Cricetulus griseus: one gene and its partners. The protein of the gene in region 1 purifies or fractionates together with the protein of each later gene. This does not show direct contact. Links are inferred from orthologs where the notes say so. Each region holds a gene or a part of one and is shown on either strand. Other genes may lie near its edges.

What was found.
Region 2: the proteins of Pop4 (region 1) and Pop1 purify together in Homo sapiens (affinity purification with mass spectrometry; 5 studies listed by BioGRID and IntAct, counting the BioPlex papers as one, with this or other methods). This does not show direct contact. The link is inferred for Cricetulus griseus from reciprocal best matches to the Homo sapiens genes POP4 and POP1.
Region 3: the proteins of Pop4 (region 1) and Rpp25 purify together in Homo sapiens (affinity purification with mass spectrometry; 3 studies listed by BioGRID and IntAct, counting the BioPlex papers as one, with this or other methods). This does not show direct contact. The link is inferred for Cricetulus griseus from reciprocal best matches to the Homo sapiens genes POP4 and RPP25.
Region 4: the proteins of Pop4 (region 1) and Rpp14 purify together in Homo sapiens (affinity purification with mass spectrometry; 3 studies listed by BioGRID and IntAct, counting the BioPlex papers as one, with this or other methods). This does not show direct contact. The link is inferred for Cricetulus griseus from reciprocal best matches to the Homo sapiens genes POP4 and RPP14.
Region 5: the proteins of Pop4 (region 1) and Rpp38 purify together in Homo sapiens (affinity purification with mass spectrometry; 4 studies listed by BioGRID and IntAct, counting the BioPlex papers as one, with this or other methods). This does not show direct contact. The link is inferred for Cricetulus griseus from reciprocal best matches to the Homo sapiens genes POP4 and RPP38.

What each region holds. Positions count from the first base shown.
Region 1 is NC_048599.1:152,152,179-152,157,948, forward strand, and holds the start of Pop4 (ribonuclease P protein subunit p29), read left to right. Parts: upstream 1-2,717; 5' UTR 2,718-2,946; coding exon 2,947-2,953; intron 2,954-5,013; coding exon 5,014-5,066; intron 5,067-5,770. UniProt on the Homo sapiens protein: Component of ribonuclease P, a ribonucleoprotein complex that generates mature tRNA molecules by cleaving their 5'-ends.
Region 2 is NC_048603.1:16,507,418-16,513,468, reverse strand, and holds part of Pop1 (ribonucleases P/MRP protein subunit POP1), read left to right. Parts: intron 1-1,684; exon of another isoform or gene 1,685-1,853; intron 1,854-3,569; coding exon 3,570-3,685; intron 3,686-4,725; coding exon 4,726-4,917; intron 4,918-5,903; coding exon 5,904-6,051. UniProt on the Homo sapiens protein: Component of ribonuclease P, a ribonucleoprotein complex that generates mature tRNA molecules by cleaving their 5'-ends. Also a component of the MRP ribonuclease complex, which cleaves pre-rRNA sequences.
Region 3 is NC_048597.1:169,123,538-169,128,866, forward strand, and holds Rpp25 (ribonuclease P protein subunit p25), read left to right. Parts: upstream 1-2,850; coding exon 2,851-3,450; 3' UTR 3,451-3,635; downstream 3,636-5,329. UniProt on the Homo sapiens protein: Component of ribonuclease P, a ribonucleoprotein complex that generates mature tRNA molecules by cleaving their 5'-ends. Also a component of the MRP ribonuclease complex, which cleaves pre-rRNA sequences.
Region 4 is NW_023276807.1:76,004,283-76,010,889, forward strand, and holds the start of Rpp14 (ribonuclease P protein subunit p14), read left to right. Parts: upstream 1-2,677; 5' UTR 2,678-2,880; coding exon 2,881-2,941; intron 2,942-2,958; exon of another isoform or gene 2,959-3,103; intron 3,104-5,163; coding exon 5,164-5,251; intron 5,252-5,344; coding exon 5,345-5,429; intron 5,430-6,607. UniProt on the Homo sapiens protein: Component of ribonuclease P, a ribonucleoprotein complex that generates mature tRNA molecules by cleaving their 5'-ends.
Region 5 is NC_048596.1:220,624,713-220,631,308, forward strand, and holds Rpp38 (ribonuclease P protein subunit p38), read right to left. Parts: upstream 3,907-6,596; 5' UTR 3,772-3,906; intron 3,591-3,771; exon of another isoform or gene 3,456-3,590; intron 2,848-3,455; 5' UTR 2,729-2,847; intron 1,088-2,728; 5' UTR 1,078-1,087; coding exon 238-1,077; 3' UTR 151-237; downstream 1-150. UniProt on the Homo sapiens protein: Component of ribonuclease P, a ribonucleoprotein complex that generates mature tRNA molecules by cleaving their 5'-ends. Also a component of the MRP ribonuclease complex, which cleaves pre-rRNA sequences.

The DNA of each region.
Region 1 (5,770 bases):
CCATGTGATAAATTTAATTTACCAAATAAATCAGCACATATTTCACTTTCTCAGTCCATCCATTTCAAATATTGTTCTGAGTACTTTGCTATCATAAATAATAATCACAAAAATTCTAATAGGTATCTCTTCATGCACTGTTTTCTGAAGATGATAAAGTGGGTGCACCTCCTTCCTACAAGGCAGATATTTTAGTAAGCACTGTCTCTCTGGGGAATCCACCAGCCTACTGTAATCTGAGAATCACAGGGAACACTGACAGATACCCAAAGCTATACTAGCTATTTGAAAAAAGGTTCATCAAGAGATTCCCAATAAGTGGGCTAGAGAGATGGCTCAGCAGCTAAGAGCACCTCCTATTCTTTTTGAGGATCAGGGTTCAAAACACATTGAATACATAAAGGCTTACAACCATCTGTGTTAAGTCCAGTTCAAGAGAATTTGGAGCCCTCTTCTGGACCCTTCAGGAAGCAGTCACACATACAGTGCACACACACATATGCATTCAAAACACTATAAAATAGAGGCAGGCATGGTAGCACACATCTGTAATCCCAGGACAGGGGAGACCGGCAGGATGATCTCTGTGAGGCTGAGACCTGCCTGGTCTACAAAGTGAGTTCCAAGACAGCTAGGGCTGTTACACAGAGAAACCTTGTCTCGGAAAAACCAGAAAGAACAGCCACTAATCAAAATAATTCCTTTAAAAAGAGAGACTCCTAATAACCTGAAAGAGGCAGACATTTGCCTGTGTCACTATAAACAGAAATCATGCTACTTTTGAATCTACAACCCATAAAATAACTCCCATATTTTCTGTTGTCTACACCCAACTCCCACTCCCAGCTCTGAGAACAAAACTCAGGACCTCAATGTATAAGTCTTCATATACTGAGATACACCCCTAGTCCACTATCGTCTTATGCTTATCTAAGTTCATAATTGTGAGGGTGGAACAGCTCAGTGGTAGAGGACATGGGTTAGGTCCTTGGTTGATCCTAAGCACCAAACATTAAGTTTTTTTTAAAGAAACCCAACTGTTCACATATAATAACCTAATGTATGACATAGTAACTATAGCAACATCATATTCTTGAAAAAACTCACTAAAATTTTAAATATTTCATCACAAAAACAATTATATTAGGTTATTGGGTTAATTAGCCTGATTTCACCATTTCGAAATATATAAATTTCAGTGTCCTTTTAAATATCATAAAAATATACAACTTTTGTTAAGCAATATTTTAAAATGTCTTAATCCCAGCACTCTTGAGATAGAGGCAGGGGGATCTCTGTGAGTTTGTAGCCAATTGATGTACATAGCCAGTTCTCAGACAGCCAGGCCTACAGAGGGAGACTCTGTCTCAAACAAGTGATCAGGTGTACATTATGGAGTTCACATGTTATGAGCTTTCAAGGGCACTTTCTCAAATACACTCTGATAGATGCTAAAATAGTTGCAGGCCTTTGTAAAGGAAACACATTTAGTGACCATCCTGCTGTTATCAGGCTGTCCCCAAACTCTAAATCCTATGTGCCTTACCATGTCCTGTACTGCTTAAGATCAAAATGGCACACACTTATCACCCAAAGATCTACAAAGCCTATGTTTCTTAAACAAGGATGCGGTGTTGTTTGCCCAAGTTTTTCTGAGAATTCTTTTTGCCTTTAAAAGGTTGCATAGTGCTCACTATTAAGAAAACCACTGCTTTCCCTTACCCACCCTCCAAGTTAGATCCAGCACTCAGGAAATTAAAGGCAGTGTCTGGACAGAACCAAGGCAACCTGAGCAGGCTTGGCTGGACCTTTGGATTCCAGAGAATCACTTTTTGTCTTTTATCATACTGACAGCACCAATTCTCCCAGTCTCAAGGATGCTTTTTGGGTTGGATGCAGGAAGGGAAGCCTACACAGGAATACTCCATTTCCAAGATCAGCCTAGGCTACATAGCAAATGTCTGGGCTACTCAGGGAGACTTTGTCTTTAGAGGAGAAAAATAAATTTAAAAAGCAAGTGTTCTGAGACCAAAGCCAGCTAAAGTTACTCTCTCTTTTCAGTCATAGGAAACAGACCCTTAAACGAGGTGATAAAAGTACTTAGTAGCTGAAACAGATGTAAATCCCCATCATCATTACACAATGTGACTAGTAATACTGTGAATGAATTCTAGGACAGCCATGGGCATTGACTCCCTTGCTTAAAAAATAAATAAATAAATAAATAAATAAATAAATAAATAAATAAATAAATAAATAAAACTGAGGGTTGTGGCAGTTGCCTTTAATCCAGCACGCAGGAGGCAGAGGCAGGAGGATCTCTGAGTTTGAGGCTGCCTGGTCTACAGAGTGAGTTCCAGGTCGGGCAGCGCTGTTAAACAGTGGAAACCCTGTCAGGGAAAACTGAAGGGAAAACAAAACTCCAAAGGACTCCTAAACCCTCACTGCAGCCATTACCTCCGCTATTTCAGGCGCATTCGGGCCTTCCTGGCCCCAGTCTCCCTGGCGTCCTCTTCAGGACAGCTCGCCTCCTGTGTTCCTGTGTTCTGACCCGCAACCCGACTGTGGCCGCCAGGGGGCGACACCAACTGAAGAGACAGCGAAAAACAGGCTCCGCTCCGCCAGCCACAGACGCGGCCGCCTCCCTCGCCCCTCCCTCGGCTGCAGAGCCAAACACAAGGCGCATGTCCGCCAGAGGCCGGCGCGGCTCCATGACGTCACGCGAGGCGCCATAGCGGAAGTCAGATCGGGGTCCATTGAAGTACTGGAGCGAGTCTGTGTGTGGACTGTGCCCGCGTCGTTTCTTGGGCACAGCGGATTTGTCCAGCGGAAATTTCAACCAGAAAGAGTCCCGGTGGCCGAAAGCTGCTGAAGAGAGCTAATAAAGGGAAGCAGTGAGCGAGGCCCGAAGGAGACTTCACCAGAGCTCGCGGGAAGCCGCCGACAATGAAGGGTCAGTGTCACGAGAGATTCGAAATCGGGGTGGATGACAGCATAGAGGGTCGGGAATGGAAGCCGAATCAGGGATCCTGTCACAACAGAGTCCCGAGACAACTTCCAGGCAACTGACTCAGTACACAAAAGCAGTCGAGGCCCAGAGTGTGAATCGGCCAACTCAGTCTCTAAGCTGGAATAGATGTCAGGATGAGTGTGTGGTACCCCAGGGAACTGGTGACGCTCAGGAGAACTGGAAGAGGTGCAGCCAAGGCCTTTAGCTTGTCCTGACCACTGCCTGCCTGTATAACTATTGCTCCCTTCCACATCCTGGCTTTTCACCCTTTCTCTTATAAAAAGCTTCCCGGGCGCAGTGTCACAAACCTAAGGCGTTGGTATTTGAGCAGAAAAGGGATGAGCCAGGAAGGGAAGCAAGCACTGGAGCGGTATTAGAGCAGAGAGAGCACAATGTAAAGATTAAGCCTCTGATCTAATGATTTCCACCCCTGCTGTGTCCTTTCATCCTCTGATGCCTTGGCATGACTCAATGTCAATATTATTATGTGCATACAAGGAAATAATTATATTCCGAATGGCTTAGAAAGGTTAATGAGATTGAAATAAATTATATACACACCTATGAGTATATATATGTACTTATGTATGCATGTATGTATGCATGTATGTGTTGCTGTAAAACAAGTACTTGACAAGCACTGAGTGTACCAGAGCTGTCACATGTGTACTGCAGCAGGAAGTCTTCCAGCTCTCATGCTAGGCATCTGCAGTAGGTAAAGCAACATTATTCCTGGGGTCCCAGGCCCTGCACATTTTCCTCAAGAAACAAAGTATAGTCTTAATCTGCAGTTCAAGGGAGAACTAAAGATTTTGTATGTAAAACTGGTAACTCTCTGGTCAGACATGTACCCAGGGAAGCACAAGAGAACAGACATGGGCTTTTGTTTGTTGGTTTGTTATTGTAGCTGTTGGGATGAGGTCAGCTATGTAGTCCTGACTGAGCTGGGACTCACTATGTAAGCTAGGCTGCCTCACCCTCTGAAGTGATGGGATCAACTGTGTGTGCCACCACACCCAGCTCAGAGACTGAGTGTATAGGGTGTAGTGTGAGCTACATATTCTGGTCATTTGCTCTTTCTTATCTCCTTTATTCCTGTACTCTGCCCCCACCACCATGGTGGTTTCCTCCAAACAAATACCAAACAGGAGCATGAGGTTTAGAGAAAGTTTGGCATCATGCTGGACATATTTAGAATTTGAAGAAAGACTGTTGTATCTATCTGGTCAGGGTACATTCCAATTTTATGGATTAAAGACTTAAAAATCTGTTTTAAACTTCTTGTACTCTGCAAATTGTTCAGTTTCAATCAACCACACCCTAGCCATTAATATCACCTCACTTTTAGTGTCTTCACTACTAAGTGAGCAACCACCCAAGCATAATTATAACTTGTATTTTCAATCAATCAATGTGCACCATTGAGGAATTTTTTTGGACATGCAGAGTCTAGAGTAGAAATTAAAACCGGTGTCTTTATAAGAGTCCAGTGATTCTTAAACAAGTTAAGCTTTGAGAGGTGCTCTTTTAAACCTCATCCTGGGAATTTCCAGGACAAATCTCTGGCCAAGGGAAGAGTAAAATGTATCTGGGATAATTGTGGTGGTACACGTGTATAATCCAGCAACTAGCACTTGGGTGCCTAAGACAGGAGTACTGAGGGTTTAAGGCCACTGTGGGCTATATAGCGAACTCTAAGCCAGCCCAGGATACAAACTGAAAGCCTGTCTTTAAATAAATGTGTAAATAAGCCGCATTGAGTAGGGTCGGGGGCATGGATCCATGGTGAAGCCTGCCCTGCATTAAACCCCACTGAGTTTAATCTCCTGGCACTGCAGAGTATAATAGAAGGATCATCCAAGAAAGCTTTGCCTTTTCATACTAACCCAGTAGTCCTCATCTGAATAAGAGTGCTTATTCAGAAGTCATAGTTGGAAAAGCCTTGGATATTATACTCACTCCTCACAGGAAGTAATCTTCTCTTTTTGTCTTTTATCCCCCAGCTGTGATTTACCATGCCCTTTCTCATAAAGAAGCCAAAGAGCACGATGTACAGGTACAATCTTTGAAAGGTGGGCTGGGAGCAGGAGACGTGGCAACAAAGATGGCTCAGAGTCTGGTCTAGCTGTCCTTCCCATGGATTACTTCTCATCTTTACATTCAGTACATTAGGCCCCATCAAGGTCTTTAGTGCTGATGTCTTCTTGTGCCAGGCTCCTTTCCTAGGGTACCAGAGTCACTCTGAGGGACTTGGATTCCTTGATTTCATGTCATCTCCCACTCTGTAGGGAATGACAGTGACAGCCTGTGCCTGAAACCTCTCTTGTTCTTGCTTCTCTGCCCTGTTCAGTGTGCTCAGCCTATTTCATAAGTGAATGTTACAGATTCTATCTGGGTATGTCAGCAAGCTTTGTCAGTTGGGCTGAAGCTTCACATGTGGCTCATAAAGAGAGCATATTCTGCCAGGCTGTGTGGAGCTTGCCTTTAATCCCGGCACGTGGGAGGGAGAAGCAAGAAGCTGTCTCATTTCAAGGACAGCCAGAGCTACACAGAGAAAACCCGTTCCTGAAAAACAAACAAACAAAAACACACACAGACACACAGACACACAGACACACAGACACACACACACACACACACACACACACACACTCACACACACACAAAACAGAGAGAGAGAGAGAGAGAGAGAGAGAGAGAGAGAGAGAGAGAGAGAGACAATCCTTGAAATCAAGATTTTAGAAGGCCAGTAAACGTTTA
Region 2 (6,051 bases), on another chromosome or scaffold:
CTCTACTGTGTGTCTCTTTATTCTCCCAAATGCCTGGAGCTTCAGAATCTTAACTGTGAGGAAGGGACGTGCACCCGCAGCTGGTCTTGTGCTCTTTGGAAGCCTCTGTCTGACCATACAGATGATCCAGGTTCGAATCCTGGCAAGGCCATCCCAGGTGCTGAAGTATCAGACCACGTGGTTCTGACAGGGGCCCGAGAGAGCTACCTAGCCGGGAAGGTGGGACTTGCTGCAATTTCTGTGATGTCACCTTGGATTCACTGTCATTGAAAACACCATTAACTAGGAGAGTAATATGAGCTGGCTTGTGAACTTTGGGAGAAGAGCATTTAAGTGTGTGTCATAACAACTTCACAATTTTGTCTTTAACCTCTCTGCATGTAGTTAGCTAGCTTACTAGGGACCAATAAGTGGCCCTGTCAGAGCTCCACATAACAGGTGGCTGAGAGGATTTGAAGACACCCAGGTAAGTTAGTCACTGTGGAGCCTCAGACTTTGTTGGTTAATGTGTACGGTCTAGTGAAACTGGAAGGAGGCGTGGAGTGTCTCCTGAGGGTTACTTGCCGAGCTGTAATCACCTCAAAGCCACGGGTGAACTCTACACCCCTCTGGCTGCCTCATATTGGCTTTTGGGTGGGCGGTTCTAACATCCTTTATAACAGGTTTAACGTGAATCTCGGGTAAAGGGAGATTAAGTCTGTGGTGAAAAATGATTTAGCTTCCACTGTAAAATCCACCGTGTGTTAGACATTGTTGTGGATTTCGTTACAGCATGTTTTTGTTGCTTTTGTTCTTTGAGACAGGGTCTACCTGGATGCCCCTGGCTGGCCTGGAACCCCCTACGTAGAGCAGGTTGGCCTTGAACTCACGGAGCTCCGTCTACCTCTGCCTCCTGAGTGCTGAGATCATTAGAACCCGTTTTAAGTACTGTGATTCCTTTGAGGATATATTTTAGTTGATGTTGAGCTACATAAAGAAAAGTGTCCTTTTTTGGGCTGGGGATGCAGCTCAGTAGAATGGTTGCCTGGCATGTGAGTGGCCCTAGTTCAGTCTCTAGTTGTTTTGAGATAAGGACCTTCTTATGTAGCTATGACTGGCCTGGAACTTACCTAACCCAGGCTGGACTTGAACAGTGTCAGTAAACACTTTTTCTCGTGAAGTAGTTGGATTAGTCTTACAACAGTGTTTTTAATATCTCATCTAGGCGGGTACGTCAAAAAGGAGGGTAGAGCCGGGCGTTGGTGGCGCACGCCTTTAATCCCAGCACTCAGGAGGCACAGGATCTCTGTGAGTTCGAGACCAGCCTGGTCTACAAGAGCTAGTTCCAGGACAACAGCCTCCAAAGCCACAGAGAAACCATGTCTCTAAAAACCAAAAAAAAAAAAAGAAGGGTAGAGGTACACTTTAGTGGGTTGGGTCAATTAAGTCTGTAGAAGCAGCTCAGTCCCTTGACCTAGTCCAGTCTGTATCTGAAGTTGTTCCCTGCCTGTTTTGACTGGAACCAACAGCAATAGCAAAACTCAGTTTAAACACTGCTAACCTGGAGATTTGTGTTTGCCTGCTTGGGGTAACGAGCTCCTTTTCTTGGATAAACTGGATCTTAGGCATTTTAAAGGAAAAGATTCCTAGGACCCTGACTGTGTTCTCATGCTTTGGAGAGGTTTGACTCTTAAGAGTTAATATTGTACTTACCTGGCAGGAGAGAGGTACCATGATCATGAAGGTGGTTTTTCCCAGGGCGAGGCTTATCCTTATTGCACTCCGGATGTGCAGACCCCTGCGATCCCCCCAAATTCGGGAAACTCAGCTGCATGATTTGTGGTGGTGGGAGGGACTGCACTCACGCTCTCCCCTGGGGGGGGGGGAGAAAGTTAATTATTAATGTGTTTTTATAACACCTTTCAACTTCATTAACAGGGCAGTTTACTGTTGTAAGTAAGTGGTCTCTGAGGTGAGTTTTTAAAGTACTGATCTGAGGCTGGAGGTGTAGCTCGGGGAGAGAGCTCTTGCCTAACTTCACAGGGCCCTGAGTTCAATCCCAGCACTGGGAAAGTAGAACGAAACCCTCAAACCACGTTTGTGCAGTCTCTAGCAGTGGCTGATGTGCTCTGATAGACTATTTGAACTGGTCCTTGCCAGAGAAGAGCTTGCTTTACCCTTGCTTGGCCTTAGAAGCAGAAAGTGTGGCTCGGTGGCAGTGAATGTGCTAAGTGTGCGTGTTGTAAGTGTGTACTCACTGCGGCTTGCCTGCACTCACTGGCTAGCGGCAAACAAACCAAAACAGAAGGGAAGAAAGAAAATAGTGAGCTGCACTGTGTGTGTAGGCTCATTTAGAGATTTGTGTTGAAATACTCTTAGGCTGTATGACCTTGGCATCCCAGGGCAGCCGTGGACTTCAGGAGCTCACTCTGTACAACTGTGTTTTCTGCTTCTGGGAAGGAAAAACTAGGCTTTGTTTCAGCAGAAGCTATCCTGTCCCTAACGCTGAGTTGAAGGCTTCAGCGTCCTTGCCCTGATAACCCTTATGTTTTCACAGTGCCTGTGGTTTTGCCTTTTCCAGATGTCATGTGATTGGCTCTCTCCCTTAGTGAAGTGTGCACCTAAAGATTCCTCTCTCCCGTCTTCCTGTGACTTTGTGGTGACTCATTCCTTCTAGTCCCTCAGCAGAATATTTGAAGTTGAACTGGTGCTTTCCTGTGCCTTTGTTTCCTGAGAGTTCTCTCTTGTGTCTACAACTCAGTTTGAATCATACCTCAGTTCTGCCCATCCGGATCTGTGGTGAGCTCCACAGGGCAGCAATCTGGGTCGTCCAGGACTGCTGGGGATAGGCTACTGGCTGTGTGGCCATCCCTGGCACTCAGCACTGAACCTCAGACCTCGCTGCTCTGTCTCCAGGGGAAGAGCAGTTTATAGATGCTCTGCAGCTTTCTTTCTGTCCGGCCATTACCTAGTCACTTGCAACTTATTTTTTTCCCTAGCCAGCAGACCCACACAGGTATGTGATTTTGAGTGACAATGCTCCCTCCCCCTGTTTTTTTTTTTTTTTTTAATTCTTCAGTGTAACAAAAATAAGATTTGAAGGACTTCTTTTCTGTCATGTTTAAGTGACTGGGTGTGGAAGTGTTAAGTGTGCATCACTGGAAACCCTCCTTTCTGGTATTCTAAGCACAGCGTGGCTTGCTCAAGAAACAGTACGGTTCACAAGCACTGCTCACTTTAAAGGAATGACGAAGTGTGTTTTACAGACAGGATCGAACAGCTCAGTAAAAGTTAGTTACAAGAGACCCTAAGTGAAGGGTAACAGAAGGTGTCTTCTAGAAATTTCATTGTCTTAAATTCAAGGGGCAACCTACAGTTATTAGTATTATAGTTGTGTCTGCACAAAAGTAATTATCAAAGAAAAGTGTTGTTATTTCATTGACTAGGAAACCAGTTGTCAGAATAACTTAGTCTTTTGTCTTCTAGTTCAGCAAATGCCTATGAAATAGTTTCCCTTCACCACAGTCTTCCAGCATTAGAGGTTGATGGGGTGAAAGTGTGGTTTGAAGGCTGTTTCTTTTCCCTCTTAGATGATGAGCAAGTCAGACAGCTGCTCCAGGAGGGTGTGCCCTTGGAGTGTACGCATAGCTTTATCTGGAACCAGGAAATCTGTAGCAGTGTCACAGAGAATAAAATCCCGGATCAGGTAACTAATGTGCCAGGAACTACGGGTAAGCTCACAAATGACAGGGGAGTCACCGTTGTAGAGACCTTGCAGAATGATTTCATTCTGTAAGTTTCACCCTGCCCCCTGACAGGGTTTTTCTGTGTAACAGCCCTGGCTGACCTGGCACTCTCTCTGTAGACCAGGGTAGCCTCAAACTTACAGAGATCCACCTGCCTCTGCCTCCCGAGTGCTGGGATTAAAGGTGTGCGCCACCAACGCCTGGCTGTTATTTATATACTCTTTACTGTGATACTTTGAATTGTTTGTTTTAAAGAATAATTTCTAGAAAAAAAAAAGACCTTTTCCTGAAGTGAAGAACCGTGTGGCTTAAATATATCCTATTTGGTCTTAATTCCCTTAAGTATTCTGTCTTTAAGTTCATACTGATTGTGTTCCCACCAGAGCCAGGCATCATGTTAGATACCCATAGGTGACTTGGGCATTAGGAAGTCTAAGATTCCTTGGGACTTTGAGGCTGGCTTGCTGTGTGAAGGAGCTGATGTTTGAACTTACTCTCTGATGGGAGCTAGGCTTCTTGGGGGCAGGCATGTTAGGAAGTAAGAACAACATGAATATGTAAGTTAACTTTGAGTCTTCTGGTGTACCCCAGCCCAGACAGCAAGTTTAAGATACTTTGGCATTTTCCTACCAATGCCTGCATATAGAGGAAAATCTTTATAGAAAGGATATTTTTACTTATTCTGGCTCAAGTTTGCTTATTCAGAGCCTTTTATTTTCCCTCTCTTTTTTCCTTTAGGTTTATTTTTGAGACAGGGTTTCTTTATAGCTTTGGAACTTGCTCTGTAGACCAGGCTGGCCTCGAACTCACAAAGATCCTCTTGTCTTCTGAGTGCTGGGTTTAAAAGCATGCACCACCACTGTTTGGCTTGCTTTCCCTTTTAAAAGAACATTTAACTTTTAAATTTGCTCCTGTGGTGATCTAGAAAGATCATCTGTAAGGTCTAGTAAGATTTAGAAGACAGTGGCTGTTTGTATTGACCTGTTTTCTTCCCCTTTAGGATTTAAACCGGATGAGAAGTGAATTGCTGGTGCCAGGGTCACAGCTTGTTTTAGGGCCTCGTGAATCCAAGATACCTATCCTTTTGATCCAGCAGCCAGGAAAAGTGACTGGCAAAGATCGCCTGGGCTGGGGAAGTGGCTGGGACGTCCTGCTTCCCAAGGGTTGGGGCATGGCTTTTTGGATCCCATTCGTAAGTTGCCTTTTGATCTCAGCTACTGCTTGCAATATTTAAAACACGGTGATCAGCATCTTAACTGTATAGCTGCTCTGAGATATTCACAAGCTTGTTTTATGTGTTGATCCTACCCTTGTCCTACATACCCATGCCCACCTGAGTTCAAGGCCAGCCTGGAATTATAGAGTGACTTCCAGGACAGTCAGGGCAGTTACACAGAGAAAGCTTGTCCCCAAAAACAACTTGAATCAGTTTGTGAGCTCAGCTTTTACAGAACTATAGAGCGTACTGTTGTGGTTTGCTAACTATGAGCATATACTGCTCCTGTTTCTTAACCGTAGCTAAGAGGCATGCCAGTGTCAGGCTGCTAGGTTCACACAGGTAGTTAATTTTTGACAGTTACGCCTAACGCAAGGAGCAGTCTGTTAATCATTTAGGAAGGGTTTTTCTTTTTCTTGGCATGTTTGTCATTTTCTTCAGCCTGAGAGTTGGACTTGAAGGTCTCAGCGGGCTAGGAAGCACTCTGTCAGTTAGCTTCATTCCCAGACAACAATCAGGCGTTATTTCATTCACATAGAAAAGAAAAGGTCCTCTCACCTACCGAGTGGCTGTGCACCCTTTGCCGGCCATTCCCCCATGTCCCTCACACCAGTGTCATCTCTCCTAAAGTAACACTGTTATGATTTCAGCATTTGTCATGCCTTTACCAAATGCTTTTATCTCTGTAAAGTACGTTTTTTACTCTGTCTTATTGTAAATATGCTTCTGCAACCTGTTGTATTCACTGGGTATTGCGGTTGTTTTCCCGTGTTGGTTGACGTTCCGCTCACATTCATTTAAACTGCTGTGTGGTGCTTGGCTGTAGGAGTATCCTAACATGGGTTTACCAGTTACCATCTGATGGGTTTTTAGGTTATTTCTCATTTCCCCTACACAGACAGTTAAACAATTTTCTCGCTTCAAGTTAGTAAACTGACAGGGCCTCTTGACATTTCTCCTAGATCTTCCGAGGTGCAAGAGTTGGGGGTTTAAAAGAGGCTACGGTGCATTCTCAGTATAGAAGGTCACCTAACATCCCCGGCGATTTCCCAGACTGCCTTGCTGGGGTTCGCTTTGCTGAAGACCAAGCTAAGGATCTTCTGGAAAAGT
Region 3 (5,329 bases), on another chromosome or scaffold:
AGACTATACGCTTACTTACTTAATTGCCTATTCGTATTTTGTAATCCTTTCCTTAAAGAGAGCAACAAAATCTGGATGTGGCTGCAGAGGTAACAGATGCCAGTGTGCAGTTTTCTTGTAAGTATTTAAAAATACATTTACATATGCAAACGTATCCGCAGGGTTTGGCGGGCACCCAGCTTTTCAGCATACCGTCCTGACTGCCTTTTTGAACAGTGGTATCGAGTGCAGCAAAGATAGTGCCTTTATTTACCCACTTTCCACAAGTTGAACCTTCTCTGCCCTCCCTCTGTCATCTGTCCCCTTCCGAAGGCTCCTACCCATTTATCACGCTTTCTCCTTTGGCCTTCTTCCCAACCTGGTTTCTTCTTTCACACTACCCTTTCCCCTTTATCCTCGCTTCCTTCCAGCCTCCCGCGTTTCTCCCCCCTCTCTAACACCACGGTTTCTTCACGGTCCAACCGATTTCCTCAGCTCACCGCCCCTCTGCTGGTTCCCGGCCTTCGGCTTCCCGGCAACGCGCAGTCCCCTCATCCTTCCACCACCGCCCGCCACACACCCCCACCGCTCCCCCCTCCCCAGGCCGGGAGGGAGCGCACAGCCGGCGGGCGACGGAGCAAGCTGACAGTGTAATGAATGGCTTCAGCTGTAATTAGCGACCCCGCGGCTAATCACGATGTGCATTTACATTTTAAGTGCTGCAGAGGGAGCGGGAAAGGAAGCGACGCGCGGGCGGGGAACCGGGCCTTTTCTGTGTTCTCCCTCTACAGACTCCGGACTAAAGTGAATGGGGGAGTCTATGGCAGAGGGTAGTGGTGGTACTGGAAGTGGGTGGCGGTGTAAAGACCAGCTTGCCAGCCTGGTTGGAGGCACAACCGCCTGCCCCTCACTGGAACAAACCCGCAGCTCCCAGGTCCCTGCCCACATCCAAGTTGTTTTAGCCCAGGCTTGAAGACTCCCGGGGACACAGAGCTGCTTTCCAACCAGCCCAATCCTTCACAGCTTCTAGTCTTTCTGGAACTTTTTCTCAGGCCAATCCGAAACCGCCCGTCTTTGAAAGCAGGCTGCACAACCACCGAGAGCAAGCCTGTAAGCGCAGTTCTTTTGTGGTTTCTGATTCAATTCCCAGTTTCGGGTTCCTGCCTTGATTTCGTGGCCCCCGTACACTGCAGTCTTGGTGTCTTCCCAAGGCGGTGCCTCCCGAACCTGCTTCTCCCTGTGAAGCCTGCAAGATCTGAGACCAGGCCAGAGATCCAGTTCCGGGCACAGTCCTAGGGTATGATCAAGAGATTAGAGTCAGTCACTCACGCTTGATGAGAAAAGGGTCCAGGTGCTGCAGACACCCTCCAAAAAGAGATGAGGAACCTGGTGTTCTGAGCTGCGAGGGGCCGAGAACTGTCACCGATAGCTAAGAGTTAGAGGAGGGCCAGGCAGCCCTCACCTAGACTGAAGCTGTGCCCATCCAGGTACCGTCGTGCTCACAATACCCTCGGGGTCACCTGCTCCCTACAGCCTTCGGTGCTTCTTCCTTGCCCTCGCTTTAGCAGGTCTGTCAGGCTCCCTGCATTCTGTGAAAGCCAGGCTGGAGACTGAAGGACATGCATGGTCCCTCCCTCACTCCTTATGAAAGATTCTTCCTCCCACCAGTCCTTCGTCCCTAGCCGTGTCTTTCTATTGTTCATCTCACCTCGCAGCAGAGCCCGAGCCTCTCCTTATGCTCGATGGAGTTTCCAGAGGTTACCCCAAATCCCAAAATCCGCCCCCAAGGCTTCAACTCCACCCCGCTTCCCATCTCTCAAAACCTCTCAGTCCCTTTCAGCAAAAACAGCCCTCTGGATTGCTAGGAGCCAAGACTGATTCCTCATGGGTTTGGAAGTGATAAATCCGTGTCGGCAGGGACTGAGCCAGGCAGATAAGAATGCGTGCAGCTCTAGTAAAGGACCTTCAGGCATGAATACATACAACAACGTTAACGCCTTGGAAGAAATGGTCTCGTTTTCTTCCCATTCACTTTAGGCTGGCCCTGCGCATCACTTCCTGCATTTCAGGGGTGTGAGGGTACCAGGAGCCTGGAGGTCTGGCTAAGAAGAGCGAGGCTGAAACCTAGATAGATCTCTCTAAGCAGCTAGGCAAGGACCATGCTGCGACGTAGCGGTCCGAATCCTAGGAAGGCGCAACGTGTAGCGGAGCCAACTCCTCTCACACCCTGCTGACCATGCACTGGCTGTCCTTGAGGCAAGAATACTAAGGAGAGAGAGGGGGGGTCTCTGGAGGGTTGGAGGAGTGAGGCCCCGGGAGATGGTTCGGAAATCTCTTACCTAGGAGGGGGTCTAGGGATGCCCTTGAGCTGGAACCCCCAAGGCTCGGGAACCGGGTTTGAATCGGCGTCTGTACCTCAAGCATGGTTTTTTATTTAGGTTGCTCCTACGTGAGGACTGGTTCAGGGAGGACCGATGGTTACTTCGGGAAACTTCGCCTCCCAAGTCACCCCTGGCGCTGTGACCCCAGCCGCTGAGCACTAGCGCTTGATCCCAAAGGCTGGCTGGGCTGGGACTCGGACAAGTCACGCAGAGTTGGGGCGGGGCCTGGACGAAGGGGCGGGGCCTCTCGGGCTCCCAGGCGGAGCTTCTGCTAAAGGCGCGGAGCACAAGGCGCCGAGGGCTCAGAGTAGAGCAGCACCACCCGGTAGGAATCTGGGCTGGAGACTGCGTGTCCACAGCCCACCCTCAGCTTCCACTCGGTGCCGGCATCCCAACCCCTACCGGCCGTCGCCCGGCGCGACCCCGGCCATGCAGCCCCGGGCTTGAAGCGACCCCATGGCAAAACCTGCGATCCCAGCGACGACGGCGCATGGAGAACTTCCGTAAGGTGCGCTCGGAGGAGGCGCCGGCGGGGGACGGTGATGAGGGTGGCAGCCTGAACTCTGGCCCTTTCGCAGACCTGGCGCCCGGTGCTGTACACATGCGGGTCAAGGAGGGCAGCAAGATCCGCAACCTGCTGGCCTTTGCCACCGCCAGCATGGCGCAGCCAGCCACGCGCGCCATCGTCTTCAGCGGCTGCGGCCGGGCCACCACCAAAACCGTCACGTGCGTCGAGATCCTCAAGCGCCGCCTGGCGGGCTTACACCAGGTCACGCGGCTGCGCTACCGGAGCGTGCGCGAGGTGTGGCAGAGCCTCCCGCCTGGGCCCACGCGGGGTCAGACGCCTGACGATCCGGCCGCCAGTCTCAGTGTACTTAAGAATGTACCGAGCCTGGCCATCCTACTTTCAAAGGACGCATTGGATCCACTACAACTCGGCTACCAGCCTCCGAACCTCAATCCTGGTCCTTCGTCCACTCCTACGGTGTCGACGTCCAAGAGGAGCCTGGGGGAATCTGCTGCTGGAGAAAGCACCGCTAAACGGTCTCAGCCTGAGCCAGGGGCTGAGAATGAGGACTCGACCGCCTGAGAACTCCTGGCTCTGAGCCACCTCAACACTCCCACATCCTCGTGCACTTTCATACCAAGGTTTTAAGGGGCCCATGTTCCTGGACTGGAAGATTGACAGCAGGGATCCCAAGGCGACCAGAGAGGGAGCTCAGGAATGATAAGAGGATCCCCTGAAGTCCAAGAAAACTTTGTGGGAAGTGTTGCCAGAAGCCACAGAACTCCACCCCCACTTTTTCTAGGCCATCCTGGGATCTTTTTTAGTGAAGCATGGTGGATAGTGAAGACTCTTGAGCCTTCTTGGGGACCCAGACTTTAAAAGCACCCAGAATGCGCAAAAACTGACAGTTGAGGGTCTTGAAATCATTCTTGCTGTTTGTTGACTGAGGGCCGGGGCTGCGACGTAGATTCCTTGAGGGTGGCCAAGTTGAAAATGTTAGGACCCTATTCTGCCCACTCACCGCCTGGCAATTCCCCTTTTTAGCTTTTCTTCCTCTTAGCATCCCCCCCCCCCCTTTTGCATGGTGGTGGATAGGAGACCCAGGACAAAACTTTCCACGCCTCCTCCCCTGAGTCCTACTGCTGGAGTCTTGCTTCCAATAAAACAAACATGAAAATGGCTCTGTCCCCAGAATTGTTTTTTGTTTTTTCCTTACCTACCCGCCTGTGCAGAGACACTTTGGCATGCTTGCCTTCAACCTTATTAGCCTTTGGAGTGTTCAAGGTCAGACACAGCAACCGGGCAGCCTCAAAATGTTGCATGAGGGACTCGTGGTGGAGCGGGTGGAGGTCTGTGTCCCTGTTGCATCCTTACAAAGTGAAAGGAAGCAGTATTGCTGCTTTTCTGAGAGAGGAAGGAGGGAGAGCATTGGTGAGCCGAAGGAGGCAGCCTGCCAAGGCTGGCAGACCATGCTAAGGTTCTAACCTTGTACCCTCCTCCCGGTAGACATCCTTACCCAGAAGGCAGGCATAAAGCCCCATGAGTAGGAGCTCCCCTTCACTGCCCTCTCTCTGCAAAAGGACAGCACACCCTTGGGAGAGGGGGAGGAGAGAGACAGCACAAATCCACTGCTAGAAATTACTATTCAGCAGAGAAGCCTGGTCTGTGAATCACTGCAGGCTCCCTGATAAGCTGCTGCCTCCAGCCCTGCACAGCTGTGTGTTGAGAGATAACGGCCTCAGATGCCTCTCTGCCCAAGTCCAAGCTGGTGGGGTGGGGGTGGGGGTATGCCGTGTGCTGGAAGTCAGATGGGGAGCTGTTCAGCATATAGCTCAGGCTCTTCAGAGCAGATGCCACCCCATGACACTCAGCACCTCTGGAAAGGAGACTTACATTTGTAAGTCACTTTGCTTGCAGATCTTTGAACTAAATCCTACTGGTGAGGAGGCTGTTTTCTGCCGCTGATGGAGGGGCTCCTTGAGGAGGCCCCTTTTCTCCTTCCAATATCTCTGCTTCTGCTTTGGATCACCAAGTCCTGCCATCCAGACTGTCATTCATTGTACTCTACCCTCCCCCTGACCTATTTATTTTTAGAGATGGTCTTGCCATGTAGTACAGGCTGGCCAGAAACTGATCCTCCTGTACCAGCCTCCCAATTGCTGGGATTACAGGTGTGCATCTTGTCCAGCTCAATTTCTTGTTCTTGAGGACTCTCTATGGAGAGCCAAGGGATTTAGATGTGTTTGTTAGCCCCTCTCAGAGATGGAGCAAGAGATTTGGAAAGAATGGAAAACTGGGCTGAAGATGTAACTCATTTGGTAGAGTATTTGCCTAATGTGTATAAAGTCTCGTGTTGACCTCCAGCACCGCATAAGCTTGCCATGGTGGCATATGCCTGTAATACCAGAACTCTGGATGTGAAGACAGGAGTATGTATCAAAAGTTCAAGGTCGCTGGGCAA
Region 4 (6,607 bases), on another chromosome or scaffold:
CAGGCAAAACACCAATGCCCATTTAAAAAAAAAAAAAAGTTCCACTGGAACAATGCCAGGATGCCTACCATCAAAACACTCTGCTGGCTAGATTTATGTCAGCTTGACACAAGCTATAATCACAGGAAACAGGAGGAAATCTCGATTGAGAAAATACCTCTATAAGATTGGGCTGTAAACTGGGCCGTGGCGGTGGTGTTCACCTTTAATCCCAGCACTCAGGAGCAGAGGCAGGCGGATCTCTGTGACTTTGAGGCCAGTCTGGTCTATAAATCAAGTTCCAGGACAGCAGAGCTGTTATATAGAGAAACCTTGTCTCAAAAAATAAAACAAAAAAGATCTGGCTGTAGGCTAGTCTGTAGAGCTAATTAGAGATTTATGGGGGAGGACCCAGCCCATTGTGGGTGGTGCCATCCTTGCACTGGTGGTCCTGGGTACTATAAGAAAACAGATTGAGTAAGCCAGTAAGCAGAACTACTCCATGGCCTCTGCATCAGCTCCTGCCTCCAGGTTCCTGCCCTATTTGAGTTCCTATCCTGACTTTCTTCAGTGATGGACTATGGTGTGGAAGTGTAAGCTAAATAAACCCTTTCCTCCCCAACTTGCCTTTGGTCATGGTGTTTCATCACAGTAATAGTAACCCTGCATAAGACAAGTAACCGTGTACTTACTTGTGTGTTTTGGGAAGGGCTGAGGAAGGCTTACAAACATGTATGAGACACCACGATAGAAAGTTAAACATGCCGGGCGTTGGTGGCACATGCCTTTAATCACAGCACTCGGTGGGCTGGAGAGATGGCTCAGAAGTTGAAAGCACCGGCTGCTCTTCCAGAGGTCCTGAGTTCAATTCCCAGCAACCACATGGTGGCTCACAACCATCTGTAATGAGATCTGGTGCCCTCTTCTGGTGTGCAGATATATATGGAAGTAGAATGTTGTATACATAATAAATAAATAAAATCTTTAAAAAAAATCCCAGCACTCGGGAGGCAGAGGCAGGTGGAGCTCTGTGAGTTTGAGGCCAGCCTGGTCTCCAGAGTGAATGCCAGGATAGGCTCCAAAGCTACACAGAGAAACCCTGTCTTGAAAAACCAAAACACACACACACACACACACACACACACACACACACACACACACACACACACACACCCCCACACACACACACACAAATTAATGGTAAGTGAAATAGGATGGACTGAGAGCTGTAGTGGTTGAGTTAAAAGATAAAGATTTTCCACGAAATCCTGCATGTCACCAAGTGTATGTGACCAGATGGAAACTGACTTGGTATGTATAATTAAACATAGATACTTTGAAGGTGACTGATAACCTAAGAGAGCTATTTCAGACTCATAATTCATAGTGTCTGTTAAATATGCACCAGCTTCTTACAAGACACCTAATTCCTTCTACTGCCAAAAGAGTTTCTTACAACTCCTCAAGGAAGTTGGTGATGATCTATCTGTACAAGAAGTGAAGAACTGGATTCCAAGCCAGTTCTGGCAACTTCCAAAATCCAAACTTTTTTTTGAGAAAGAAAATGTCACTATCTAGTGTCAGTGTTAGTTTCCTCCATTTATTCCCCATCTGAAACAAGTCCTGTCCCCCCTGAGGGGGAAGGAGCAGAAGCCACATGACTACAGAGCATGGCCAAGACAAGAATGACAGAGTTTTAGGAAACAACAAATATTAGGTTCTTTTCTCAGTTATAGAGAAGGCCCCAACTGGCCTAGGCACAGGATTGGCTGTGCAAGGCATACATTTTATGCCCACTGCCATGTCTAGCTCAGGCCAAATCAAAAACATTTTTAGTAAGTACAAGCTGAGTGACCGCTGGTACCAAGGCATACAAGGCAGTGATAAGCCATCACACAAGTCCCCACACACAGAGATCACCTCAGACTCCAGCTGGTTTAAGATGGTGTAGTCTGGACATTACTGGCCAAAGCAGATAATCTGTAATACCACTTGTAATCATGATGGGGTGGGGGCAGATAATTTAACCTTTCCCTATTGGGATAATAGCTACCCCAAGGTTGTTTGAGGGTTCCATTAGATAACTTAGGTAAAATCTTTTGTACAATGCCTGGCACCAAGTAATATTAATTTGCTATTGTTACTATTAAATACACACTATATGTCACACATAGAGAGGGACTATACCTTATGCTCCTGAGCTCCCACCGCCCAGAATGGCGGCTAGCACATAGTGAATTCAGAACAAACTCTTGGTGAGTAAATCAAAAGTGGAATAACTTACATCTGGATACAGGAGCAGCTAGATCTTTCCATGTCAAGACAGAACTGTGTGATAGGAGCCATAAAGGGCCACTGACAGTGGATCTTGTCTGGTGCCTGAGAGATGTTCTTGAAGAGGACAAGGCTTAGATTTAGCTTAGTGGTGGAGGACTTGCTTAGCATAGATGAAGCGGTGGTTTTGATCCCTGGCACAGCGAAAGAAGAAAAAAACAAGGAAAATAATCTAAGAGAGGAGATGTTTGATATAAACTGTTGCAAATGAATGTAGAGATAAATGACCACGAAGATTGCTAGCGCCTAAAAAACATGCCACAAATGCAAGTTCCGGAAATGGGCGCCAGGGGGCGCTGAACCCATCGACCTCAGCCCGGCTGAGGACCATGCCACCGTCTAGGGGGCCGACGCCGAGCAGTGATGTCACTTCCGCTTGCGCGTCGCGTCTGTGGGGAGGTGCGGGGCGGAGGCAAATGTAAACACATCACATTTGCAGGCCCAGACTTGGGCTGCTGCGTGGGAACTCCGACCCGCGCCCGGTTCTAGCAGCGCGCAGGAGACAGGGACGCGGCCGATCCAGCGCCGCCGGAGCCTCTTAACGGCCCGCGGCCTGTGCGGGTGCGCATGCGCGAGGCGGTGCGGCTGGCAGGTCGGTCCGGGTTCCAGACGGCGGGGAAGGTTGAAGGTAGCGCACTCCCCTCGTGGTGGGCGCCAAGTAGATGGCGGTTGTTGTCGAGCAAGATTGCAAACCGCATAACTCTTAGAGCAGTAGGGGGCCGGGCTTCTTCCACGGCTGCTTTGCTCCCATGAGTCCCAGAGTTGTGTTTCGTGTGCTTCAATGTGCAAGGCACGTTTGAATCCGGTAGAAGCCATAGGGACTAAACATTGTTTTTCGGAGTACAGGCGTTGTGAGAGGCAGGAGGAAGGAAGTGGAGATTAGATATTCTGTAGTTCTGTTAGAATTTAAGGGTTGCAAGGACTGGGCAAGGAGGGGTTGGCGCCATCGTAGATCAGATTGAGCCGTGGAACGCATTGAGTAAGATGAAGGAGGCTAGGAAGTGTGAGACACGTGGCTACCGGCTTCTGGGTTGCAGAGAAACTAGTCTTAGCCGAGGCCAAGAGGAGGAGGAAGCCTAGAGTGTTAGGTCTCACAAGATTCCTGTTCTCTGGGTAGTGGTGGTGCACGCCTTTAATCCCAGCTCTCGGGAGGCAGAGGCAGATGGATCACTATGAGTTCGAGACCAGCCTGCTCTACAGAGTGAGTTCCTGGACAGTCAGAAGTCTGTTACACACTCTGTCTCGAATACCACCCCCACCCCCAGAGGAATTCCTTTTCTCCGGTCTGGCACTTAGACAAAAGCTGCCATTCCCTCTGGAATTTAAGACAGTTGAGTCATTCTCCACTTACCTCTGGCTAAAGGTTCACTGGGCTCCTCTTTTAACCTATGACTGTGGTGCTTATTAGCATATCAAGGGCTATGCTAGGCCCCCTCAGTCCCTGCTCACAAGTACCTATTACAGTTATTCTGGCTGACAAGTCCTGCTCCCTCCCCTAACCACCTCAGGCCCAGCTTTTCGTTCCTGTGTAACTCAGCTATTTGATTATTAACTCAGCTCTCTTGGTTCTTCTCTTCCTCTTGCTTCTCTTTTTTTTTTTTTTTTTTTTTCTCTTTTTGGTTTTTCAAGACAGGGTTTCTCTGTGGCTTTGGAGGCTGTCCTGGAACTAGCTCTGTAGACCAGGCTGGCCTCGAAGTCACAGAGATCTGCCTGCCGAGTGCTGAGATTAAAGGTGTGTGCCAGCAACACCGGCCCTCTTGGTTCTCTTGATTATTCACACCCTCTTTTGTTTCTCTTTTGTCCTCTTGGTTCCTCTCTCTTGCTGTCCCTGACTGTACATGAGGTCAAAGCAGGACCTCAAAGATTTCCACCCTACTCTGCATAAAATCAGAAGCATCACTACGTCTGAGCAGAGTTGTGATATGAGGCATTTTGGGTTTTGTTGTTTTTTTTTGGGGGGGGTGGAGTGGTGATGGTTCAGGACAGGTCTCTGTGGGTAGCCCTGGTTGTCATGCTGTCATGGATCTGTAGTAGGCTGGCTGGAACTCTCAGAGATCCACCTGCCTCTGCCTCCTGAGTGTTGGGATTAAGGGCATTTAGCATCACCACCTAGCTGTGATGTGGTTTAACACGTTCACAGCAGCCATATAGATTAGAGAGGGGGGCAGAAGATCAAAACCAAGTAACTTGCTAGCAACATCCCTGCAATCAGAAAAAGGTATCAACAGTGACTGTAAGAGGTATACATCTTGAACCTGTTGAGTATGATGCCAAACTACTGAGGACGATACTAGATTTTACTCTGAGAGCTTAAGACTATACAAAGTGACTCTTTAAGTCATCATTTTAAAGGTTAGTTTATTTTTATTTAATTGTATGGAGGATTTGCCTGCATTTGTATTTATGCACCATGTTGTTGCAGTGCCTAGGAAGGCCAGAGGAGGGTGTTGGATCCTCTGGAACTGGAGTACAGACCCTGTGGGTACTGGAAACCCAGCCTGGCTTCTCTACAAGAGCAGCAAGTGCCCTTAAAAAGAGTAAAATATACAGTGTGTCATTTTAACTTTCTTTTGGTCATTAAGGAAATATGCATTGTCATGTGACCATTAACCACCACCATTGTCTAACCAGGGTTACATAAAGTACTATAATAAGTCTTTAAAAGTCAAATAGGCTGGATGTGCTGACATTCTAGCTGGTGATCTCTGTCCTTCCTAGAGAAAGGCAGGAGGATCAGTTCAAGGCTAGCCTTAGCTATATAACAAGTCTTTCTCAATTTAAAAACACAATACTACTACTAATAATAATAAGGTGTATCTGGTAATTATGAGCGCTCTTGACTCCTTGTAGGAACTCCATGTTTGAAGATGCCAGCTACAGCATATGAAAGACTAGTTTACAAGAGCCCCTCGGAGTACCACTACATGAAAGTCTGCTTGTAAGTTCAGTCTTATAATGTTTCCCCCCACCCCAATCTGAAAAGCATGGAGTTTAATATGATAATTTCTCTTTTTAATATTTTTTTTTCCAGAGAGTTTCAAGAACACGGAGTTGGACTGAATACAGCCCAATTCAAACAACTGCTTGTTTCAGCCCTGAAGGACCTGTTTGGGGAGGTATGAGTTACTTGGCAGATTAAGTAAGATTCTTTAGGTTTTCATAAGACATTCTAGAAAAGGGACTAAGAGTATATCTAGCCCAGTGGTGAAATGATGGGTCATACCTGTCACTTGGGCACACACCTATCATAATTCTAGCATCTGTGATTCTACCCCTGGTAAGTGAAAGTAGAATAAGAATTCAAGGTAAACCTCCTCTACATAGCCGTTGGAAGTCAGCCTGTCTACATACTTTTTTAAAATGAAGAAAACTTTGTTGTTTGTTTGAGAAAAGTTCTCTGTATATCCCTGGTTGTCCTGCAGTTTGCTCTATAGAACAGGCTAGCCTTGAATTCACAGAACCACCTACTTCTGCCTCCCAAGCACTGGGCTTAAAGGTAAGCAACACCACTCCTGGCCTAGAAGAGTACTTTGTAAGAAACACAGAAATATCATCTTTTAAAGGTATACTGGAATTTGCAAAAGCCAACTTTCAGAAATAATGAGTTCTGGTAGGTTATTCCAGTGTGCCCTGTATTGACAAGGAACCTGGTAGGCCACGGTTTGTTTTTGCACAGCTATCAAATTATAGTCTAGATTGGTAATATCATTGCCCATCTTTGTAAAGATGAAGGGTTTATATGGGAGCTATCACACTTGAGTGAGAAGGTCTCTTTATAAAGCAGTGTGAGGGATGGCAAGATGTCCTGAGTTCAGTTCCTGGAACCCACATGGTGGAAGGAAAGAGCAGACTCTTGAGAATTTTCTTTCACCTCCACACATGTGCAGTGGCTCATATATAGTGCTCATATATAGATACATATACATATGTGTGTGAGCAATAGACCGCTGGTACATGTACATGCTAGGACACGTGTACATGTGGGGAAAACACACATAAAAATAAATAATTAGTTTTTACATTCCAATCTCTGTTCCCCCTCCCTGCCCTCATCTCCTCCCACTCCCCCGTCTTCCCCCCCCCACTTCCACCCACCCCACCTCCCATCTGCTTGTCAGAGAGGGTAAGGCCTCACCTAGAAAATCTGTTAAGTCTGTCCCATCATCTTGTTGAGGCAGGACCAAGGCCCCCCCACACCCCTATGTCTAGGTATCCTGAAGAAATCTCCTGTGTGTTGGGAGGCAGAGGCAGGTGGAGCTCTGTGAGTTCGAGACCAGCCGGGTCTACAGAACTA
Region 5 (6,596 bases), on another chromosome or scaffold:
ACGCATGGACATTAGTCTCAATAAACTTTGGTTTTGTTAATCATCGTTTTTGAGTGTTTTCTGTACCTCATGGTTTTAAGTTTCAATGTATGTGTCCCACCCAGTCAGAAAGACTTGCCATATCTGAAAGAACACCTCCATGCAAGATCCTAAGAATATATGTAAACATACTTTATTTGTTTTAAAATAAAAGTATTTAGATCATATCCTTTCATGAAATGACAAGTTCATACAAAACTACTTTGAAATGGATTTTTTACTTTTGGGTGGTTTCCTTATCTTATGAGGGTTGGGAATGAGTTTCTTTATTTTAAGGGGTTGTAGTATTGTAGTGGAAGCCTGCCCACCTTCGGCAGGCTTTCTCTTACTAACTTTTGTAAGGTCATCAAATGAAGTGTCCAAAATCTCTTTGTCCCGGCTTTCCAAAGATTCTGTCTCTAAACTGTCTTTAGGATCTTGGGTTCTGTCTTGAAGCCATGGCACATGTAAGCTGGGCACCCTGGGAATGATAGCTCTTACTTCCTCAGCGAAGTCCATGGAGTTCTTTCTAAAGCCCAAGGCTAGCATACATTTTAAGCCAATGACAGGAGCAATTCTCTGGCTGAGCTGAGGAACCTGGCAAGCGGGCACAGTTCTGCTTATACTCAGCTGAATCATGTGTGAGGTGATGACAGCAGGCTTGACCGACTTACAAACTAGAACTAGGAGCAGTTCATTCCTCTCCAGAGCTCTGGTGACTTCATTAACGCCAATGACCAGCTGTTTTCTGACATGTGCGGGTGTCCACCCTGAGACCTGCACATTCCCATCGTGCTCCTCTTTCAGACCCTCACTAATCTCAACATCTGGGCTGCATCTTTGCTTTTTTACAAAAGGTGTTTTTTTCTTTTTATCTTCAATTTTCTTTAGTCCAATTGATTTAAATTTGTCTTCAAGTGTCTGTAATATAAAGTGTATGTCCTCTCTCTCCAAGGTGCTCCAGGAAATGACATACGGGTTGTTCAGTGATGTCTTTACAACCAGAGGTCTAGTCTTCCTAATAGATCCCCTCTTAGGTGCTTGAGGGGCTGCAGCCATCTTGAAAACCCTTCAGAAAGAAGCATTATCTCATGTTAGTAATGCATGCTCTGAGAATATTTTGGTTATATTCCAGTGTTTTCTTGTTTTTTACTCCAAACTGATAGGCAAGTCTAATTATATAGGCCCAACTAGGTAGCCATGAACATAACTTCTCTGGTAAAATGAAGTAGTTATAATTTCCCCTATTTTTTTCCATGATACACAGGCAATGTGAGAATGACTGGTGTTAAGCTCAGAGGTTTAGCATCTTCTAAACTCTTAATTAGACTTCACTCATTTATTTTTAAAAATTAAGTTACTAGGATTGGGGATCATATCATAGAGCGTCAGAGGGGACAGCTCTATCAAAGTAGGTTCTCTCCTTCTACCATGTTGAATCACAGGGTAGAACTTGGGTCACAAGCATAGTGGCAAATGCTTTTACTCTCTGAAGAATCTCAAGGGCCCCTCATTCACTCATTCATCAGCCCATATACTCCAGTGGGCAGATGGTGTTCTAGGCACAGCTGCTGGTGGGCATCAAGACACTTGTGTCTGCCCACACAGAGCTTATCTGTAGTCTCTGAAATTCATAACTAACCAGATCAGGCTTTAAGAACCAAAAGTAATATATGTCCATGGCTAAAACTTATTCTGTACCCCTTTGTAAGTCTCCTTCAATGATCCCCAATTTCCTTCCTAAAACATACAGGCACATATTTTTCCCTTCATTAGATTATAAGATGACTGCTTTGACAGGCAATTTCATGAAAATTTGTGATGAAATTCAAAGAAATTAATCCATTAGGGAGAAATAAAAGGGCTGGGCTCCTTCCGAAAGCGTATTAGAAGCCATTGGCCTATTCATAATTTTCCTAGAGACTACAGATATGGTATTAGCCTTACAGACTCTTTAGGATGTTCTTGGTTGCTCTCTAGTTGGGTATTCATCTAGATCAGGCTTGTCCTTTCCAAAGGCAACTGCATACTTCCTTCTCTCAGTTATTTTCTCCTTCCTAGAGTTTATCTAAGAACTATAAAGACCCATTTAAGCAAGTCCCCTTTGATTAAGGTTCCTCCATTTCAGGGCACTTTCTCCAAATATATACCCAATTCCCTAACACACCTATAGGGTTCCTCAGTGTATGGGTTAGGAAGCTGACTCATGGCTCCATCTTCGAAATAACCTGTAGCTTATAAGAACATACAGATGGCTGGTTCCCACTCTAGAGCTACTGAGCTGTAGGAGTGCAGCCAAGTCATGGGTGCTGGTAAGATGTCCAAGTGAACTGAAAAAGAACCAGCATTTGGAAATGTTGGTTGTGGGACAGGTTGGCTTTCCAAACTGGACAGTCCCAAGAAATGGTGTTGCAGAATCACTCCGAGATCCTGATCCATAAAGCCAGAATTCCTCCCAGTGAGTGCTGCAACCTGGTCCTGTCAATGCTGCCCACTGCTACAGACATGGTCTGTTGATGCTTCCTTCCCCACACTGCACTGCACTCTCCCATTGGTCCCTTATTAGCTCTATGCTCCCCTCAGGCTCAGAGATTAAAGAACAGAAGGCCATCCAGATCTAGTGAGGTGACTGCCAGAAGCTGATATCTGGCTGTAGGTGGTCAGACAAAGTGACCAGGGAGCAAGACAACGGCCCCACCACAGTTCTTACCAACCGGCGATTCAGTTACTGTATGGGCCTAGCCCATCGGTTTACGAGGGACACTCACTCTTAGATACTCTGCAACCAAGGGACAGCAAGATTGGGATCACTTCTCTGATACACAGAACCTGGAAGGGAAGATGAAAAAAGTCAAGTCTGCATAAGGTGGCCGCCATGCAATATGAAAAAATGCTTAACAGCTTCATAGACAGGAAACCAGGATGGACATGTGCCTTGCCATCTGTGTCTGCAAGCTGCTGCTGCCTACGGGATCAACTGAAAACTCAAAGGTTTAGCTTTTACCCTCCCATTTCTCACAAGCCTTTCTCCTTTCACCCACCATGCATATTATAGATTCGGGCTATTTAATGAAACCTCTGGTGTCTCATGTCCTTATGCTCCGTGTATCCAGCCTAGGATACGACTCACATACCACATGCTCTCTCTTCGTCAAAGTCTTATGGATTATATCCTTGATGCCCTAAACCATTAGGCGTTGTGCAAAGCGAAGGCCTCTGCGGTTAATAAAAACGTCTCACTTTAAAAGAGTAGTAGTGATGTACCTTAGGGAGCAGAGAGGTGTGGCCTTAGCCGAGAGAGTCAGGAAAAGAAGGCTCTCTGGGGGAAATGAACGCTCTCTAAAGAATTCCTTCCAGACTAAGTAGAAAGGGGGCAGCGGGGTAACCCAGAAGAATATTCAGTGTCGCTGGGACAGAGATAAAGGCGTTGGAATTACCGGGTAGGGACAAGATGGAGAGTCTTGGCGGTGGAGTGGCGCGATTAGAAAGGCGTCACGGAAAGACCTTGATTCTGGGAAGGGACCTGGGAAAGGTTGTCAGCAGCAGAGCACCAGTCCCGTGGTCTCGGGAGAAGCAGAGGTACCCGCGTTTCGCCACGCAAAGGAAACCCCTCCGGAGGGAGACTGAGAACGCCGGAAGGGGCTTCAGGGAGACCTGGAGTGACCTCAGAAGCTGTCTGCAGCCCCTTTCCCACCACCCCGCGGTGACAGGGGTGCCCACGGGCTGGGACTCGGACCATAGGCGCTCGCCCACCTCTCCCGAAGCGCGCCCTGCGGAGACCACAAGACAGGGACTCCGTATCACGACTCCGCCGCCACTGGGGACCCGAGCGCCGGCTCCACGTGCGCCTGCGCTGCGCCTGCGCAGCCTGACCGCCTCCCTTCTGCATTACGTCACACCTGGTAAGGGACTTGAGCGGCAGCTTGTGACAGCAGGAAGTCCTTCCGTAAAATCCCTAAGCTCGGGACAGACCTCTGGAGCAGCACTGCGCAGGCGTATGATCTGTCTCGCGAGAGTCTGTGGTTGCTGTAGTAACCAGCCGCTCTCAGTCTGGACTGGTGGTGTAAAGATGGTCTAGCCACCGGTTCCTGGGTTCTGGTTCGTGGTTTAAGCACGATGGCTTCTGCCTTGGAATTCTGGCCCGCTATCTCTTTTCATTCTAGAATCGCAAAGCTCCAGCCCTTATAACCATTCATTCTCTGCACATGTCCCCGCGCCACGAAAATCAAATAAATAAGGGTTGTAGGGTTAGGTGTAATTACAATTTAGGTGGAGAATTTTGAGCCAACTCCAAGAGAAATAAGGGCGGCTTTCAATTCCACAGCAGTATTCCAGAATATTCCAGCAACATCTGTTCTGCCTTGGAGACAAAAATGGAGACAAAAAATGGTTATCAAGCCAAGCGGTGGTGGCACACGCCTTTAATCCCAGCACTTGGGAGGCAGAGGCAGGAGGATTTCTGCAAGTTCGAGGCCAGTCTGGTTTACAGAGTGAGTCCCAGAACAGCTAGCTAGGGCTACACAAAGAAATCCTCTCTGGAAAAACCAAAAGAAAAATATTGGTTATGAACAGGATCACTGGGGAGTTATGGACACTAGCAAAAGAGTGGGATACTGTGCCAACGATTTAAAAACCTAAATCTGTTGGCTACATTTGACAAAATGTTTTTATCCTTTCTGTCCTTTTCTAACGAATTTGGGTGGACTCAGGTCCTTCTCCATGCCTTCCTCCTGTTCTCAGTGTCTTCACTGCTCATTTTAGATTGTAAAACTTTAGAGTCTAGTATTTTCATTATACACCACCTACTGCACATAAATTAAACAAAACAAAAAGGGTTGCTTTGGGTCAAAGATTGTTGCAGTTTTTACAGGGAATGTGCTGTGGTTTTTATCACAAGCAGATTATCAAGAATAAAGCCAGCATGAGTTTTGAGTGTAACAACAGGCTTTTGTTTCATAAAACGTTCTTCACCCTTTTGCAGTCATGTGGCGCTGAAGACAAATTGCGATAGTCAATTGAAACACTAAAGGTTCACATAAAACCCTGGTGCTTGGGAGACTGAGTCGGGAATATGTAGAGTTCAAGGTCAGCCTGGACTGCTTAGTTCAAGGCGACCAACCTCAGCTACAGCCCACACCCCCGAGACACACACACACACACACACACACACACACACACGAAAGAATGAAAGAAGGAAGGAAAGGAAAAGAAAAGAAGAGGAAAAATGAGAGGCAAGAGGGGGAGAGAAACAGAAGTAAAAAGGTAAGCAGAAAAGAAGGCAATGGCTCTGTTGTTATCCCACTAAAGTTCCAGAAATAAAGTTTACCCATGACCTAACCTTTCACGTGATCATTTTTCTAGCTCCTACATTACAAAGCTTTGGAACCAGGCTGCTAAGTTGGAACCCTAACCTTACCACTAACTAGTGTACCTATGCCTGGCACAAGTTATGAAGTGATAAAAATAGCACCTATTCTGAGGATTAGAAGAGAGTTCTGTGTAAGATGCTTATCACAGTGCCTGCCACATAGTAAGTGCCAGACAAACTGAACCGTGATGGCCCAGTGACATCTTTGGCAGAATCAGGTTAATAAAATTTAAATATATCCTCTACTATTTTAGTCCTTGTTTTCTGTTTGAAGTCTGGCATTATTTCCACAAGAATTTTACAAAAAAAAACATGCTATTTCTCATAGGTAATTTATTCCATTTGTGTGACACAAACTTCATAACAAAACAAGTTATTTTTAGAGGTTCTCTTAAAAATCATCTGAGATGATACAGTCACCCCCACATTTTTGTTCAGAGTCATATACTAACTTATTTCCAATAGATGTGTGCTTAAAAAACAGTAATATCAATTCAGTTTATGTTCAGATTGTTTTTCTACAAGCATTTTCCAGTATGTCTCAAATATTTCTACAAACATTTTTCAGTAAGCATCCTGTAGTTTCCTTAATTACTATATATTTGGCATTCTATACCTAATGGTCAATTTTGCTTTTCAATGATAGCTGTTATTTTAAAATAATTGTTAAGTTTATGAACATCTCTTAAAAGCTTTTAATAACTTAGAAGGTTTATAGAAGCTTTATTTTTGTATTAATTCTTGAACTGTTAGATAAAGGTTACAACAAAATAACATTAGTTTAAGATTCTAAGTAAGAAATTGTAGCATTAGAGCTGACAAAAAGTTTGTCAATAAATATTGTGCAATATTTGAATACCAGATTTTTCTTTTCTTCCATGGAATTCTGACCTTTGTTCTGTATTTGTTGTGTGCTATTGTGGTTTTGTGGATTCTGCAAAGATAACTGTTAATAACAATTATTTTATTTCTAGTTTTTATTAGTATGTAGAAATTGTCTAAAATACTGGTTTCAGCCAGACAGTGGCGGCACACACCTTTAATCCCAGCAGAGAGAGGTGGGTCTCTGTGAGTTCAAGGCCAGCCTAGTCTACAGAGTGAATTCCAGGTCAGCTAGGGCTGTTACACAGAGAAACCCTGTCTTGAAAAACCAAAAGTAAAATAAAATATTGGTTTCCTTATGGCTTTTCCTGCATGTCTACAGTCAGTC